Nothobranchius furzeri: one gene and its partner. The protein of the gene in region 1 purifies or fractionates together with the protein of each later gene. This does not show direct contact. Links are inferred from orthologs where the notes say so. Each region holds a gene or a part of one and is shown in the gene's direction. Other genes may lie near its edges.

The links.
Region 2: the proteins of polr3f (region 1) and si:ch211-140b10.6 purify together in Homo sapiens (affinity purification with mass spectrometry; 3 studies listed by BioGRID and IntAct, with this or other methods). This does not show direct contact. The link is inferred for Nothobranchius furzeri from reciprocal best matches to the Homo sapiens genes POLR3F and POLR1D.

Annotation. Positions count from the first base shown.
Region 1 is NC_091746.1:29,573,571-29,580,724, reverse strand, and holds the start of polr3f (DNA-directed RNA polymerase III subunit RPC6), read left to right. Parts: upstream 1-2,261; 5' UTR 2,262-2,397; intron 2,398-2,710; 5' UTR 2,711-2,859; coding exon 2,860-2,921; intron 2,922-3,330; coding exon 3,331-3,448; intron 3,449-3,526; coding exon 3,527-3,594; intron 3,595-3,669; coding exon 3,670-3,737; intron 3,738-3,817; coding exon 3,818-3,930; intron 3,931-4,110; coding exon 4,111-4,254; intron 4,255-6,781; coding exon 6,782-6,889; intron 6,890-6,960; coding exon 6,961-7,152; intron 7,153-7,154. Other genes in the region: dzank1 (double zinc ribbon and ankyrin repeat-containing protein 1), read right to left, coding at 1,022-1,079, 1,180-1,282, 1,371-1,518, 1,862-1,970. UniProt on the Homo sapiens protein: DNA-dependent RNA polymerase catalyzes the transcription of DNA into RNA using the four ribonucleoside triphosphates as substrates.
Region 2 is NC_091747.1:51,105,013-51,111,661, forward strand, and holds si:ch211-140b10.6 (protein POLR1D), read left to right. Parts: upstream 1-2,497; 5' UTR 2,498-2,642; coding exon 2,643-2,668; intron 2,669-2,999; coding exon 3,000-3,074; intron 3,075-3,510; coding exon 3,511-3,862; 3' UTR 3,863-4,358; downstream 4,359-6,649. Other genes in the region: pdx1 (pancreas/duodenum homeobox protein 1), read left to right, coding at 5,488-5,854.

The DNA of each region.
Region 1 (7,154 bases):
AACTCCCCCTGGCCCTGACGGTCCAACTCGCCCCCTCCCTTCCCACTTTTAAAGTACGTTTGAAGACATATTTCTATTCCCTGGCCTTCCCGGCTGAGAGTGTTTAACCCGTCTGCTTTCCTGTTTTTATTTTTTATAGTTTTTATTTGTTTTATCTATTTTGGTGATGTATTGTCTTATACAGCACTTTGGTTGGCGTTGTCGCCGTTTAAATGTGCTTTATAAATACAAGTTGATGATGATGATTAAATGAAGTGATGCTTCAGTGTGTTTGGACAAACCTTCTCATTCTCAGGGTTCAAGTTTCAAGAGGTAGTCCCTCAAGACTGTTGGAAAACCATTTCAGGTGACAACCTCTTGAAGCTCATCAAAAGCCAAGAGTAATCAGAGCGGTGATCATGGACGTAATTTTCACTTGAGAAGTGGGGGGGACACGGGGGGGGGGGGATCTTTACAGTATGCTCTAATGGGAAACAGGTTTCAACACAAACGGCTGTTTTCCGCTTGGTCTTAGAGCTCAACCAGTGTCAATTTAATATAGCGTAATATTGTTTTTGGATGGTAAAAAGTGCAGGGGTCAAAACTTGATTTTGGAAAAAGTGGGGGGGACATGTCCCCCCTGTCCCCCCCCAAAATCACGTCCATGGCGGTGATCAGAGCAAAGGGTGGCCTTTTTAAGAAATTAGCGCACAAAACATGTTTTCAGTTATTTCACCTTTTTTGGTAAGTGCATGACTCCACATGTGTTCAATCATAGTTTTGATGCCTTCAGTCAGAATCTATGTAAATGATCATGAAAATAAAGAAAACACATTGAATGAGAAGGTGTGTCCAAAGCTTTGGCCTGTACCGTAGGTGTGAGTGAGCGTGTGGCTGGGTATCTGTCTCCGTGTGTCCCCAAGACTCCACTCAGATGCAAGAAGTTCAGAAAATGAATGAATAATAAATTAGACTAGGATGGATGGATGGATTAAACCTGGTTTGGGTGCAGGTGTGTACTAGTGGACCTTTTCGTACTTACCTACAGATCTTTGTGGAGAACCAAGTGATTTCTCAGCAGAATCACAAGTTCCATCAGGCTGAAGTAACAGAACAATGAAGGAATGAGCAAGGGCAGATAGTTTCATACAAATAGAGGACGGGTTTATGGAATATGCAGAGCAGCGGGTGAGTGTTTACCTTCAAGTGGTTCTGCAGACTATTCTGGTTCTCCACAGTGCTGCCTGAATCCAGTTGAACCACTGAGAAGACCTTGGTCACCACAGAGCTCTGTCTGCCATCACTGTATCAAACACAGTTATGGTCTGATAAACAGGAAGTGATGCAGTGCTACTTTTATTCCTGTCACTCGTTATCAGGTGAGTGTTTACCTGGTGACAGCCACAGCTTTGACAGACACCCGACCAGCAGGTAGCAGGATGGGCTCTGTGTACTTCCTGCTGCTGCCAGCTGCCCCTCTCTGCCCCAGCTCTGGCTTCGACCCATCCAACGTATAGAAGATCAGCACACCTGCAGAGTCTGCACGCACAAACTGTTGTTTAGATCAGCGCTGCAAGGTGGCAAATTTAGCAGAAACCCCGATCAGCCTCGTCGCAAGACAATAATTCAACCACAAAGTATCTTCAGTCAGAAGTTTCTTCAGATCTGCTGCAACACAGAAGATCCGTCCTGTATCCAGCTAGAACCGGATAGAGCTTGCTAGAAAAAGCTGGAACCAGCTAGATCCATGCTGTGTGTGTGTGTTGTGAAATTAACAAAAGAATATGAATGGATGGATAGATAGATGAATGGAGGACAGAAGTGTGTGGTGTGTGTGTGTGTGTGTGTGTGTGTGTGTGGGGGGGGGGGGGGGGGGGGGTACCTGACTGGATGGAGACAGGTGTTGTGGTATCGATGTGCTTCTTGGCTCGATGAGTTGGCAGGTAGATGATGGGAATGATAAGTGGAGGTAAAACAGCTCCTGCTGCCATGGTAACGGATATCAACAAATCAGGAGATCAGGGTTTCTTCTTCTTCAGTTAAAGCAGAAAAGAAAACTTGAGTTTTTTGAGTCCTTGTTTTAAAAGTGCTGCTCACAAACGTCCAGCTAGACCGTCACAACTCACTGAGACGTGATGATATCTGAAAAAACAGGATAGCAATCTAATGTACTAAATAAGAGGTTATAACGTCTCAACACTGATATTAATCAGCTGTCAGCCATTAGACAGCGCCCTCCGCTGGCTACCGGTTTACCGCTCCCGTACCGCACAGTTCTTGTTGTGTAGCGGAACCGTTTTTACGGTTATGAGCTCAAGAATACAGACGCATCGAGCTGGCTGGGAGATGAGACACTTCTGAGAACTGCAGCGTTTATACAACGTCACCATGGCAACAGAGTCTGTCTGAGACGAACGAGTAAGCACAAGTGCCTGCCCCTCGGGGCTGCCGCGAAACTTTCTACAAGTTCACTCTTTAGAAGTTCCTAGAAATGACAGGACTAGCATCTCATGAATGTTTAGAGAAATTTTCTCCGCTTGGATTTATTTGAATGTAGGCACTGGTGTTTCAGTAACTCGTTTTATTTAAATTGTAAAAATAATATAAAAAGTGGGTTCAATTGAAAAACATTAAAAAATGAGAAGTAATTTTGAGGATTAAAATAAGATTTTTTTTGTCTTTCACTTAACCGCTCAACTGAATCTCAATTAATTTATTTTTGAACGGGCAGTTTTCCGGACACCTACCGCTGGGTAAACATCTGTAAGGACCCCTCCAGGGCAATCTTGATACCGCCTGCTCTGAGATTGATTGTGGCGGACCAGAATCACCGCCTTAACGGAGCCGCTGCTCGGACACGAGCCACACGACCGGTTCAGAATGGCGGAGGTGAAGGTGAAGAAGGAGATGAACCAGACGGAACCCGCGGAGGTGGAGAGCAGGTTGGAACGGACCGGATTCTGTGTCCATTCGGTCGATTTGAACGTTTCTCATCCACAATCTCTCACATATCGGTGACAAGTTGAGTTTGGACCCGTTTTCGGGACGGGAACAGGCTCACTCAGACTTCGGCATTCACTTCACTCGTTTATTTGTCAAAAGAAAGTCCCAAAGTAGACTTCATGTCTTCAACGTGGCTGCCAGATTTGCACCATCGTTCTGTTACACCTGTTTGCTGTCTTGCACACGGACAGAGGCATTGCTTTCATACATGTTAAATAAAACATAAGTTTGTTGCAAATAAGAGGAGAATTGGAGGCAGCTGATTGAAGCGAAAACTGCTTTAAAAACAAAAGTTAATCATACGTGAAAAGACGTTCTGATGTGTTTAAACTTGTTTCTGTGACCCAGGATCAAAGATCTGTGTCAGCAGTTTCCTCAAGGTATCACAGACCAGGTGATCCAGAACGACATGCCTCACCTGGAGCCTCAGCAGAGAGCCATGGCCATTAACAAGCTGCTGGCCCTGGTGGGTTCGAGGACCTGACCCATGTCGGTCTCTGTGATGCTGATGGATGATCTGAACTGGTGTTCTATTCTATTATAGGGTCACCTGGACCTTCTCAGGAACAGTTCAGGTCTCCTGTACAGACTAAAGGACTCTCAGATGTCCAGGTAAGACCTGAGATCTGCTCGCTGGCCCCTGTGTGGTTTGGTTCTGCCTCTCTGAAACGCCTTTCTGTGCTTCAGTAAGATGAAAGGCTCAGACAGCCAGGAGAAGCTGGTCTATCAGGTGATTGAAGATGCAGGAAACAAAGGTACCAACCTATTTATGTCTAGAAACATGCAGCTCACCACTAACGGATTAGAACATCACGGCTGTGTAATGTGGCTGCAGGAATCTGGAGCAGAGACATCCGCTTTAAGAGCAACCTCCCTCTGACCGAGATCAACAAGATCCTGAAGAACCTCGAGAGCAAAAAACTCATAAAAGCTGTCAAGTCTGTGGCGGTGAGTGCTGTCGGAACAAAAACGTAGCCGGTTCATAAACCAGAGCATTGCTTTCTAACTAGTGATCAAAGTGTGTGTGTGTGTGTGTGTGTGTGTGTGTGTGTGTGTGTGTGTGTGTGTGTGTGTGTGTGTGTGTGTGTGTGTGTGTGTGTGTGTGTGTGTGTGTGTGTGTGTGTGTAGGCATCAAAGAAGAAGGTTTACATGCTGTACAACCTGCAGCCAGACCGCTCAGTAACAGGTGGGGCCTGGTACAGTGACCAGGACTTTGAGTCAGAGTTTGTGGAAGTTCTGAACCAGCAGTGCTTCAAATTCCTCCAGAGCAAGGTACACACACACACACACACACACACACACACACACACACACGCGTGCACTAAAACAGCAGAGGAGCACAAAAATGGGTGTTCACCTCAGCAACAGCCTGAACTTGTCCACAAATATGGATGACTTCTGCAGTGGAAATCATCCAATGTGGGTTTTTCTGTTGCCAACATCTTGATTTTAATTTTTTTCCCACCTGCCTGCTAAAGCGCAGCTGATGCTCAACATTCCTGACCCTGTTGAGTCTTATTTTTGTACTAAACTGCAATAAAATCAAATATTTAATCAAAGTTATTCAAACAAGTCACCAAATTAATTAGGAATTAAATAAGGAAAACAGGTGAATAAAAAATGTTAGTTACATTAATGTTTTAGAGGATTTATTTAGCAGATTTAAATTAAATAAATTCAAATTTGGAGTAAAAATACAAAAGAGCTGAAAACACAAAAGCAACATCTAAAATGCATCCTGTCTTTTGTTTTTGATTTTTACCAATAATTCTTAAAGAGCAAGTCACCCCCAAATCAGCTTTATTTGCTGATAAACTATATAAATGCATGCCTAATCGTGCTGCAGACACGTGTAGTCAATAGTTTTGCACTTTAGTGCATTTTAGTTCAAATTTAAATTTTCTGCCTAAAACTGTCAGTGTAGTACCGTTGTCAGGTAAAAACTCTTCACTGCATTTGAATTTAAACCTGCCATCGCTATTGGCTAAGAGGTACCCTCAGCTGGTACTAGTGATGGAAGTTCCAGCTCTTTTTAGAGAGCCGGTTCTTTTGGCTCAGCTCACCAAAAAGAGCCGGCTCTTTCGGCTCCCAAGTGGCTCCTCAGATTTTCTGTTGCGTGGAGTACATTTATAACCAAAATGATGATAAACTATATGTAAAATAATTTACTAATGTAAAAAAAGCAATATATCAAATATTTATCATTTCTATGGATTTAATAACTGAACACTTTAAGAAATCTCCACTTTCCGACTGCTGGCGCTCATTTTCTCACCGTCTTCGTCGCGCTCTCCCCTCTCTCTCTCTCTCTCTCTGTCTCTGTCTCTGTCTCTCTCTCTCTCTCTCTCTGTCTCTGTCTCTGTCTCTCTCTCTCTGTCTCTCTCTCTCTCTCTCTCTCTCTCACCTTTTTCCTCCTCCTCATTCCCTCTCGTCTCCCTCCACCTGCATGTGCTCTGCTGTGTGTCTGAGTCTGATCCTCCCTCTTCCCCGCCCCTACTGCTCTGTGTGTGGACAGTCTGGACACACAGTTACACATGCTGACCAATCGCCTGTAGCTTTCACCAAAGCAAGAGGGAAGGGGGGGGGGGGGGCACGGCTCCCAATGATGAGCCGGCTCTTAGGGCCGGTTCGTTCGCGACCGACACATCACTAGCTGGTACCATATGATGTCACAATGTTGTTGTGAGCCTGTGTGTGTGTGTATTAGTTAGCGGCTCCGCCCTCTCGGTCTGCTAGGCAACAGCATTTGTTGCATTTTTCAAACAGGAAGTGGGAGTGGAGTTAGACTCTGGTAGGGGGTGACTTGCTCTTTAAGTTAAACTAAATGAAGCCTTTTAATGATCTTGGCTTAGCAGCAGCATCATAGCAACAAACCTCTCATCCCCGAGACTGAACTTTGGGTATCCGTGGATGTGCCTGACTTTAAACCGGCCTGAAGGATCTCTCTCTCTCTCTCTCTCTCTCTCTCTCTCTCTCTCTCTCTCTCTCTCTCTCTCTCTCTCTCTCTCTCTCTCTCTCTCTCTCTCTCTCTCTCTCTCTCTCTCTCTCTCTCTCTCTCTCTCTCTCTCTCTCTCTCTCTCTCTCTCTCTCTCTCTCTCTCTCTCTCGTCGTCTTCACCTACTCCTTTGGGGTGAACTGAACTCAGTTATGGACCCTCTACAGCTCTGTGGTAGCGTCTGTTGTCCTTTTATGAGGTTTATTATGTTTGGTGGAAGTGTAGAGAGGGTCAAGGGGACATTAATCAAGCTGGTCAAGAGGGAAAGGGCAGTCCAGCACTGTCCCTTGAGGTGTGTGGAGCAGGTTTGAACCCCACCCCCAGACAGCGGGACAGACAGACAACTGAATTGTCCTCTTACTCTGTTTTTGTTATGAGAGCGCTGGAACAGCCGTGTGGTAATAAAAGTTTATTCAGGTCATTACGGACCACCAGAGGGCAGCAGAGATCTCCCTCCTGAAGGTCCACTGACCTGACCTCATGTCTCTGAGCTCAGTTCCTTAGTAAGGCATTATGGGATGTAAGGATCTTATCTTTTAAAAGAGGTCTTAAAGAAACGATGGAAGCTCTTTAACCGTGAAGCTTCAGCCAGCCTCCATCAATACTCCTTTGAGGTTCTTCTGGGTCATTTTGTTCTGTTGGGGAACCCTCCCGACGACAACAACTGTTGGACCAGAACCTGATAGTTCTGCCAAATGACCAAATGATCGGATCAGAACCCATCCTCTGGGTTGGTCTGGATGATGCTGTTCAGGAACAGGTGGGTTCTGGTCATGTGACCGTCGTGGTGTTCCGTGTGTTAAGGCTGACGCAGCGAGGGACAGCAATCAGAGCCCGATGGTTCAGCGGAACAGCTCCTTCGCCACCTCTCATGAAGTGTGGAAGTACATCTGCGAGCTTGGAATTAGTAAGGTGACTGCTAACGTCCACCAATCACACATCACGCTCGCTGTAGTCCGTGTGTCTGACAGGTGTGTGTCCAGGTGGATCTGTCCATGGACGACATCGAGACCATTCTGAACACGCTCATCTATGACGGGAAGGTGGAGATGACCGTGATTGCCGCCAAGGAGGGGACGGTGGGCAGCGTGGACGGGCAGATGAAGCTGTACAGGGGCGTGAACCCCATCCTGCAGCCCACCGGCCTCGTCAAGACGCCCTGCGGACTCTGCCCGGT
Region 2 (6,649 bases), on another chromosome or scaffold:
CATCCTGTTCTGCTCAGTGGGGCTTGACATTCAGAGTGTAGCCAGCGAAGGATGCAGAGGAGGCGCAACAACAGATGCACTTCTCCCAGCAAGATGCTGAAAGCTCGTCACACTGCGCAGAGCAGGATGAAAGTCCCTCCGGTTCATTTCTATTCTTGCGTTTGATTTGATCTGCACAGATTGTCTCCTGACAAACCTGTCCCTACCGTCTCCTTGGCCACGGGACCAGTAGCCCCTTATTTCTGTCTCCTTTTCAAGCACATGCTCCTGTCTGTGTGTGACTGGCTGCTTCTGTCTCTATCCCGCAGCTGGACATGAATTAATCATGAGGACACAAGGCTTCTCTGTTTCTGTAACAAAGCTGTGACATCACCACATCACACACAGACGTGTAGACATGCAGGCGTAAACCTGCACGCGCATACGCAAACAAGCACACGAGCTTTATCCAGCAGGCCCTGAAAATAATCTTTGGGATTTTAGAACTCTCAAAGCACTTTGATCTTTTTCAGGACAATAGTCCTCTGCAGAAGTATGAATGCATGCATGCTTTGTATTGTATTAACGAATGACAGAATTTTGTCTACACACAAATGACAAACTAAGGTTTTAGCACGTGCAGAAATGCAATAACCAACAGAAATGGCATCATAATTTAGGCCACAGATTTTAAAACTCAAGTTTATCTTACGTTCGACCCGATCTCTTCATCCATGTTTTTAAATTTATTTAGAAGAGGCCTGCAAGGTGTGTTTCAATTGTCTGTTTTTCTCCAGGCAGACGTGCAGGGGTGACAACAAAAACAGACACTGATTTGATTAAATCTAGCATTTTCTCCTCCTCCCGGTGTCGTCGTCCCAGATTGCCTTGCATAAACTGCAGTGTCATATTCCGGTTAAGTCAACATCGTTATTAAAATCATCGCACCCCTCTTTCACCTCCCTCCCCAGCTGTCTGACTTCATCCCATCCTGCAGAAGCGGAGGCGCGAGAGGACAGGACAGAAGAGGCGACAGCATCAACCCCGCTCGCTGACACAGCTCATGCAGGAGATGGATGTCTCCAGATGTGATGGATGTTTTACCTTCTTCCGGCGGCTCCTCCGCGCCGTCCACTCGGGCCCCAAAGCGGGGAGCAATTATCAGCTGCGGGGCGTCGATCACGCATTCGCCGCAACCGACGGAGAGCTCCGCAAGCCCGCAAGAAAACGCCCCCGTACCGTTGGCGCCGCTGATCCCGCCCACCGCTGCCAATCAAAAGGTGATGGGAGGAGTCTACGGAGCTGAGTTTAGAGGTGGCTTACACCGACCGCCTGTTCAAAAACAGGATCAGAACAAAAATTAGAATAGAATAGAATAGAATAGAATAGAATAGAATAGAATAGAATAGAATAGAATAGAAAAAAACAGAACAAATATATACTTAATTATCTGCCTCAAAAGTATTCTTACAGTGCTGGGTGAAGTGTATTACCCACAAGTCATTGCTGCAGGAGAAAGGGTTCAAGTTCCTTTTCTGAATATTTTCTAATGGAATGAGTTAGTTTTGGGACAATCAGTTGATGCTCTGAATGTTTTAGACAAAGCAGCAATTAATTAAAATTTATTTCAAATAATGGGTTGTTTGTTTAAAAGTTGTTAATAAAGGCTTTTGAAAAAGTATCACAGGACCAGCATCTCGGCATGCGTTGCGTTTCATGACGCAATGCTCCCTGTCTCACTTCAGCAATTATTTGCACAGTTGTAGTCCACGCACTCGAAGCCTTACTGCACACTTTCTCCAAGTGCACTTTGCTGAAGACTGCAGGGCGCAATGCGAGTATTGGCACTGGGCCTGCTTGTGATGTCACAATTGGGGACAATTTCAAATAGCTTGTTTTAGGCACAACATTTCTACAACCACACATTGGCATGTTTGGAGCGTTTATAGAGGCAGAGTGCACATGGCGGCACAAAAAGGATGCAAAAGGCATAATATGTCTTCTTTAAGAAGATTACTTCTAAATAAAAATGTTTGTTATTGTCCTTTAATGTATCACAATCTAGATTACTAAAATATCTTGCTTGATGATATTCTGTAACTATCACTTTACTTTTGATTAAGCCATTGTATGTATTTAAATTATTTTTACAATTTACCAAAGAATTAAGTTGGCTTAGTTCCCAATGGAAAATGTTTAATCAAATAAAAAATGTACAAGTTTAAATGTCACATTTTACGTTTCGATTTGAGTATAAATCCTTTTTTTTAACAAAGTGTGTTTATATATTTGTTTGATTCTATGTTTGTTTTAAAGTTATTTGTGGCCAAATGTTGCTAAAACAATCAGCTGTAAATGTTTTTCCAGGGGTGCCCCATAACTTATTGAACTTTTAAAAATATCAATTATTTTAATTAAAAAAGATCAATACATAATACACAAACATATCTACTTGTAAATAAAAAATGTAGTTTGGTTTCATAACTTATTTTCAACATGATTTTGCAACTGAACAGGCATTGCTCCGGGCAGCTAAAAACAGGGTCCGCGATTGAAGGACCTCTCGGCGAAGTGAACAAGAAATGCCTCGTAAATTAACGTAAATTTATAGGTTTTATTAGGTTTTTATTTATTTGTAAGAGTTTTTGTGTGATTAAGACGCAATGGCGGAAGAAAATGAGCTAGAAAAGTGAGTAAATGTATCTTTATTAACTTCCGTCTGAACACATTTGCAGACATTTTCCCTCTAAAATGTAACGCTGCGGAAAAACAGTCTGTTAGTAGTTCTGATCTGAGTTGTTTACTGTATTTAAAGTTGACTTGTTGACTCTAGCTGCCTGTTGTGTGTAGTTTCAGGTCGGCATAAGTAGCGAGTCCAATCTGGTGATGAGACTCATTTCGGGTCAAACAAGGACACGTCCGCTTTACTTTCATCTTATATTTCTTGTACATCTGCTCAGAATTTCTGTCCTGTTTGTCTCATGACTCATTCTCCTGGTTCTGGGTCCGGTTCCGTCTAGGCGCGCCGTGGAGGAGCTCCTGAGGGAGACTGACAGAGCCCGGGTGAGAGCAGAGACCATGGGTCCTGCAGGATGGTGAGCTCTGAAATATCTCTGACCCTCTCATGTGGATTGGCTTTCTTTCTTTTCTTTTTTCTTTTTGGATAATTACTTAGTGTCTAGTATTATTTTAAATATTAGATTATTTTGCTCATGTTCTCATTAAACCATCTGAACACACCACGTGTCTTCCTAAAAATGTTAGTTTTGCACTAAAAGTTATCTTATCTGTTGGTATTTTAATTTGAGGTCTTATATCATATATATACATTAAAGGTTTTTTTGGGGCATTTCAATCGTATGTGTGAAAATTTCTTATTTAGCCTCTTTATTCTATAGTTAAAGGGATAAAACACCCACAAAAGTCATGTTGCTGAAGTCTGATTGAATCTGTGAAATTAAATTTCTTCTTTCGGCATCAACTGCTGGATTTTTCTGGATCTGTGTCTGATGTTTGTGGATTTTTCTCCAGGTTGAAGTGTCCTCTACAGAGCACCAACAAACGCTTCTTACTCAACACCCTGCGCTCCACGGGCCTGCACCGGCGCACAGAGGAACCCCAAGCCAAATGTTCCTCCACAAGAGGACGCCTTCGGAGCGAGTCCCCGGACAGACAGCGTGACCGCAGCAGAACGCCTCCGCCTGATCACAGGAATACTGGCGGCCCCTCGGATCATAAACGTCCTCACATGGACCGCCGCACAAGTCGAGATAAGAGGCCGGACAGAGATAAGGACAGACGCAGCAGACACCAAGACGACAGAGACCGGAAACATGCCGATGGACAGAAAAGAGACAAAAAAAGACGGATTCAGACTTCATGAATGGACCGGCTTTGTTTTTAGTCTCAGGAGCTCATAACCGACTGAGAGGTGCTGCTGTTTGCTTTGTGTTTAAAAGAGAAAAACTTTATTTAAAATATCATTTTACAGAGAAATAGAGTGAGTTTTGTCTCTTTGGACGTACTGGTAGATTATTTTCTTTTTTCCCAATAAAATGCAACAGAATGAGGTCAAACAGTCTCTCTCGTGACTCATGATGAGGTGTAACCGTGTTCGTCACAGGAGGGGGACCTAATCTCTATTATAACGCCATTACTATTCATCACGTGTCATGATGTTTACATAGGCCACGCTGCTGTCGCCACAGAGTAAGCATGTTTTATCATTTTTTGACATGCCGTCAAAAACTGGTTTGTTACTCAATGAAAAAGCTAAAAAACATTTCATTTATTTTGTTTCAGGAACAATCTGTTGATTTTGTGTGATTGTCCTCACTTTGAGATGGCAGATGGCCATTAAATCTTTCCATTTTTTCTGACTCCACTGTCTTTTATTATTTCTACAACTTTACAGGGACGAAAGTGTCTGATTCTGATTGCCTCCCTTCTTAACGGGCAACACGCCTCATAAATCACATATGGAACAGCCTGGGTTAACAATTTCCTTCCTCTTTACAACAATGATCAAATATAAAGGCCATTAGGCCATATTGCAGGGGGGTGTTTTGCATAGAAATGGCTCACCTGGACTTTATTGCACCGTTGAGTGCTGCCATTAAGATTCATTGGAAAGTGCTATAATTGCTTTTGAAGATCTGAGTGCAAATAGTCTATCGAAGCTGCGCAGACTATCAAAATAAAAGCCGGCTCGTCCCGCGTGACAAACATGCGTCTGAAAGTCGTGCGTAAAAGGCCGTGGAGACGCGCGCTCCAAACGCGCACGGCGGTTAATTGAGTTCAGTTGGTCTCTTCATGATAATTGACTAACCAAGAGGGCTATTGTTAAATGGGGCGAGGACACACAAAGATTAATGGCCAGCAAACACGAGGAGAGTGCAGCAGAGTTGTGTTTGTCGTCGCCAAGGTTTTTTTTATCGTCTGAGGCAGCGCGCGCAAAAATGGTGTTAAATGATGCATTTAGAAAAGTGTAATGGACAGATTTAAACGTCAGAAAGAGCTGGACTAAAATAAAAGGCTGTGGAAACTAAGGTGTGTTTCCAAGACAACGGGTGCCTTATCTCGCAGGTCAACCCAATGTTTGCACCCATAGTATCGATTTACAAGACTCATATTCGCATAAAATGTCGATTGCTTCCATGTCTGTGGACGAGAGTCCTGCGTGAAGAAAGTATCCAAATTTTTGTTGTTCCACTCGGAGTTGGTGTATGTGAACGTTTTGGCACCGATTTTACGCACTGCTCTGTTCAACTCAGGGGGAAAAGCTGCAGAATATCATGGAAACTGGGCGCTGTCATTCCGAGCAAACACTGGAGCCAATGAATTGGGCGCCTTGGGGTCACATGATGTCTGAGTGACACACCTGTGTGGAGCAGGGGCCTTGCAGTTGCGCCACAGGTGGAGCCGAAGGTCCACACCGAGGAAGGGCGGCAGGAACAGGGTGCATGTCCGCGTCTAACGCCCCCCTGTAACCTCCGCTCCTCTCCAGCCATGAATCGAGAAGATCAATTCTACCCCTCTCAGGTGTTTAAAGACTCCTGTGTCTACCAGAGACCACAGGGGGAGGACTACAGCCCTCCACCCTGCCTCTACATGAGCAGACCCGTGCACTCCGTCTACACACCGCCGGCCTTGGGAGCCCTGGAGCAGGCCAGCCTGGACATCGCCCCCACTTACAGTGTGCCCATGCGGGAGGATCCAGGTGTGCCACAGCTGCACCACCCGCAGGGGCTCCAGCTGTCCCCGCTCCAGAATCTGGGTTATGGAGACACGGGAGATCAGAACAGATACCAGCTTCCTTTTCCCTGGATGAAGACCACTAAATCCCATTCACACACCTGGAAGGGACAGTGGACAGGTAAGCCCTCTGTGCCTGAAGGACATTTAGATGTGGACACTAAATATTTATAACTTTAACGGACTCTCCTGGGCCTGCATGTGGTGGTACGAGCTCCCCACAAAAACCCAACAGGCTCAAACAAAAGCTTTTCATTAACATTAAAACACAAACTTCAAATGTTATTTTATAAAGCAAATTAAAATAAAACTCTATGGACTAAATGGAAAATGTTTCAGATTAAAAGGCTTTTTTATCCGGGATCTTTTGACTAATGACGAGTTAGAAAAGTGACAAAATTTTCAAATCAAATTCAGATGTGATTTCAATACTAAAATTATAAAAAGCTTTAATTGTCACATTTGAAAAAAATTAACACATTTGTAGCTTATAAATTGATTCAGTTACATGAAATTAATCTGGATTTTTTTATATTTATGTGCTGATTGTGACTTTCTAAAATGAACTAGTTTTTTAGTTTAAAATTGCACAAAAGAAAAAAAAATCATGAAATATTTAATTGCTGCTAAAAAGTTGTGTGTGTGTGTGTGTGTGTGTTTAGATAATTTCACTTGCCTTTAATGTTTCAATGAACAGAAAAAAACTGATTCGAGGTCTCTATTTACGTTAAAGGAAAAATAATAAATTAAAAGGTTTTATAAGGGCAAACCGTGACAAGAACTTAGTCACGCTTTTATTTATTTATTGCTGCAGGAAATAAATTATGATAAATTAAAGTTGAACTTTTAATAGTTCTCAAATGGATGAAGTTGACTTTCTTTTCGCATTAAAATATTTTGGGTAATTCTTTATTAT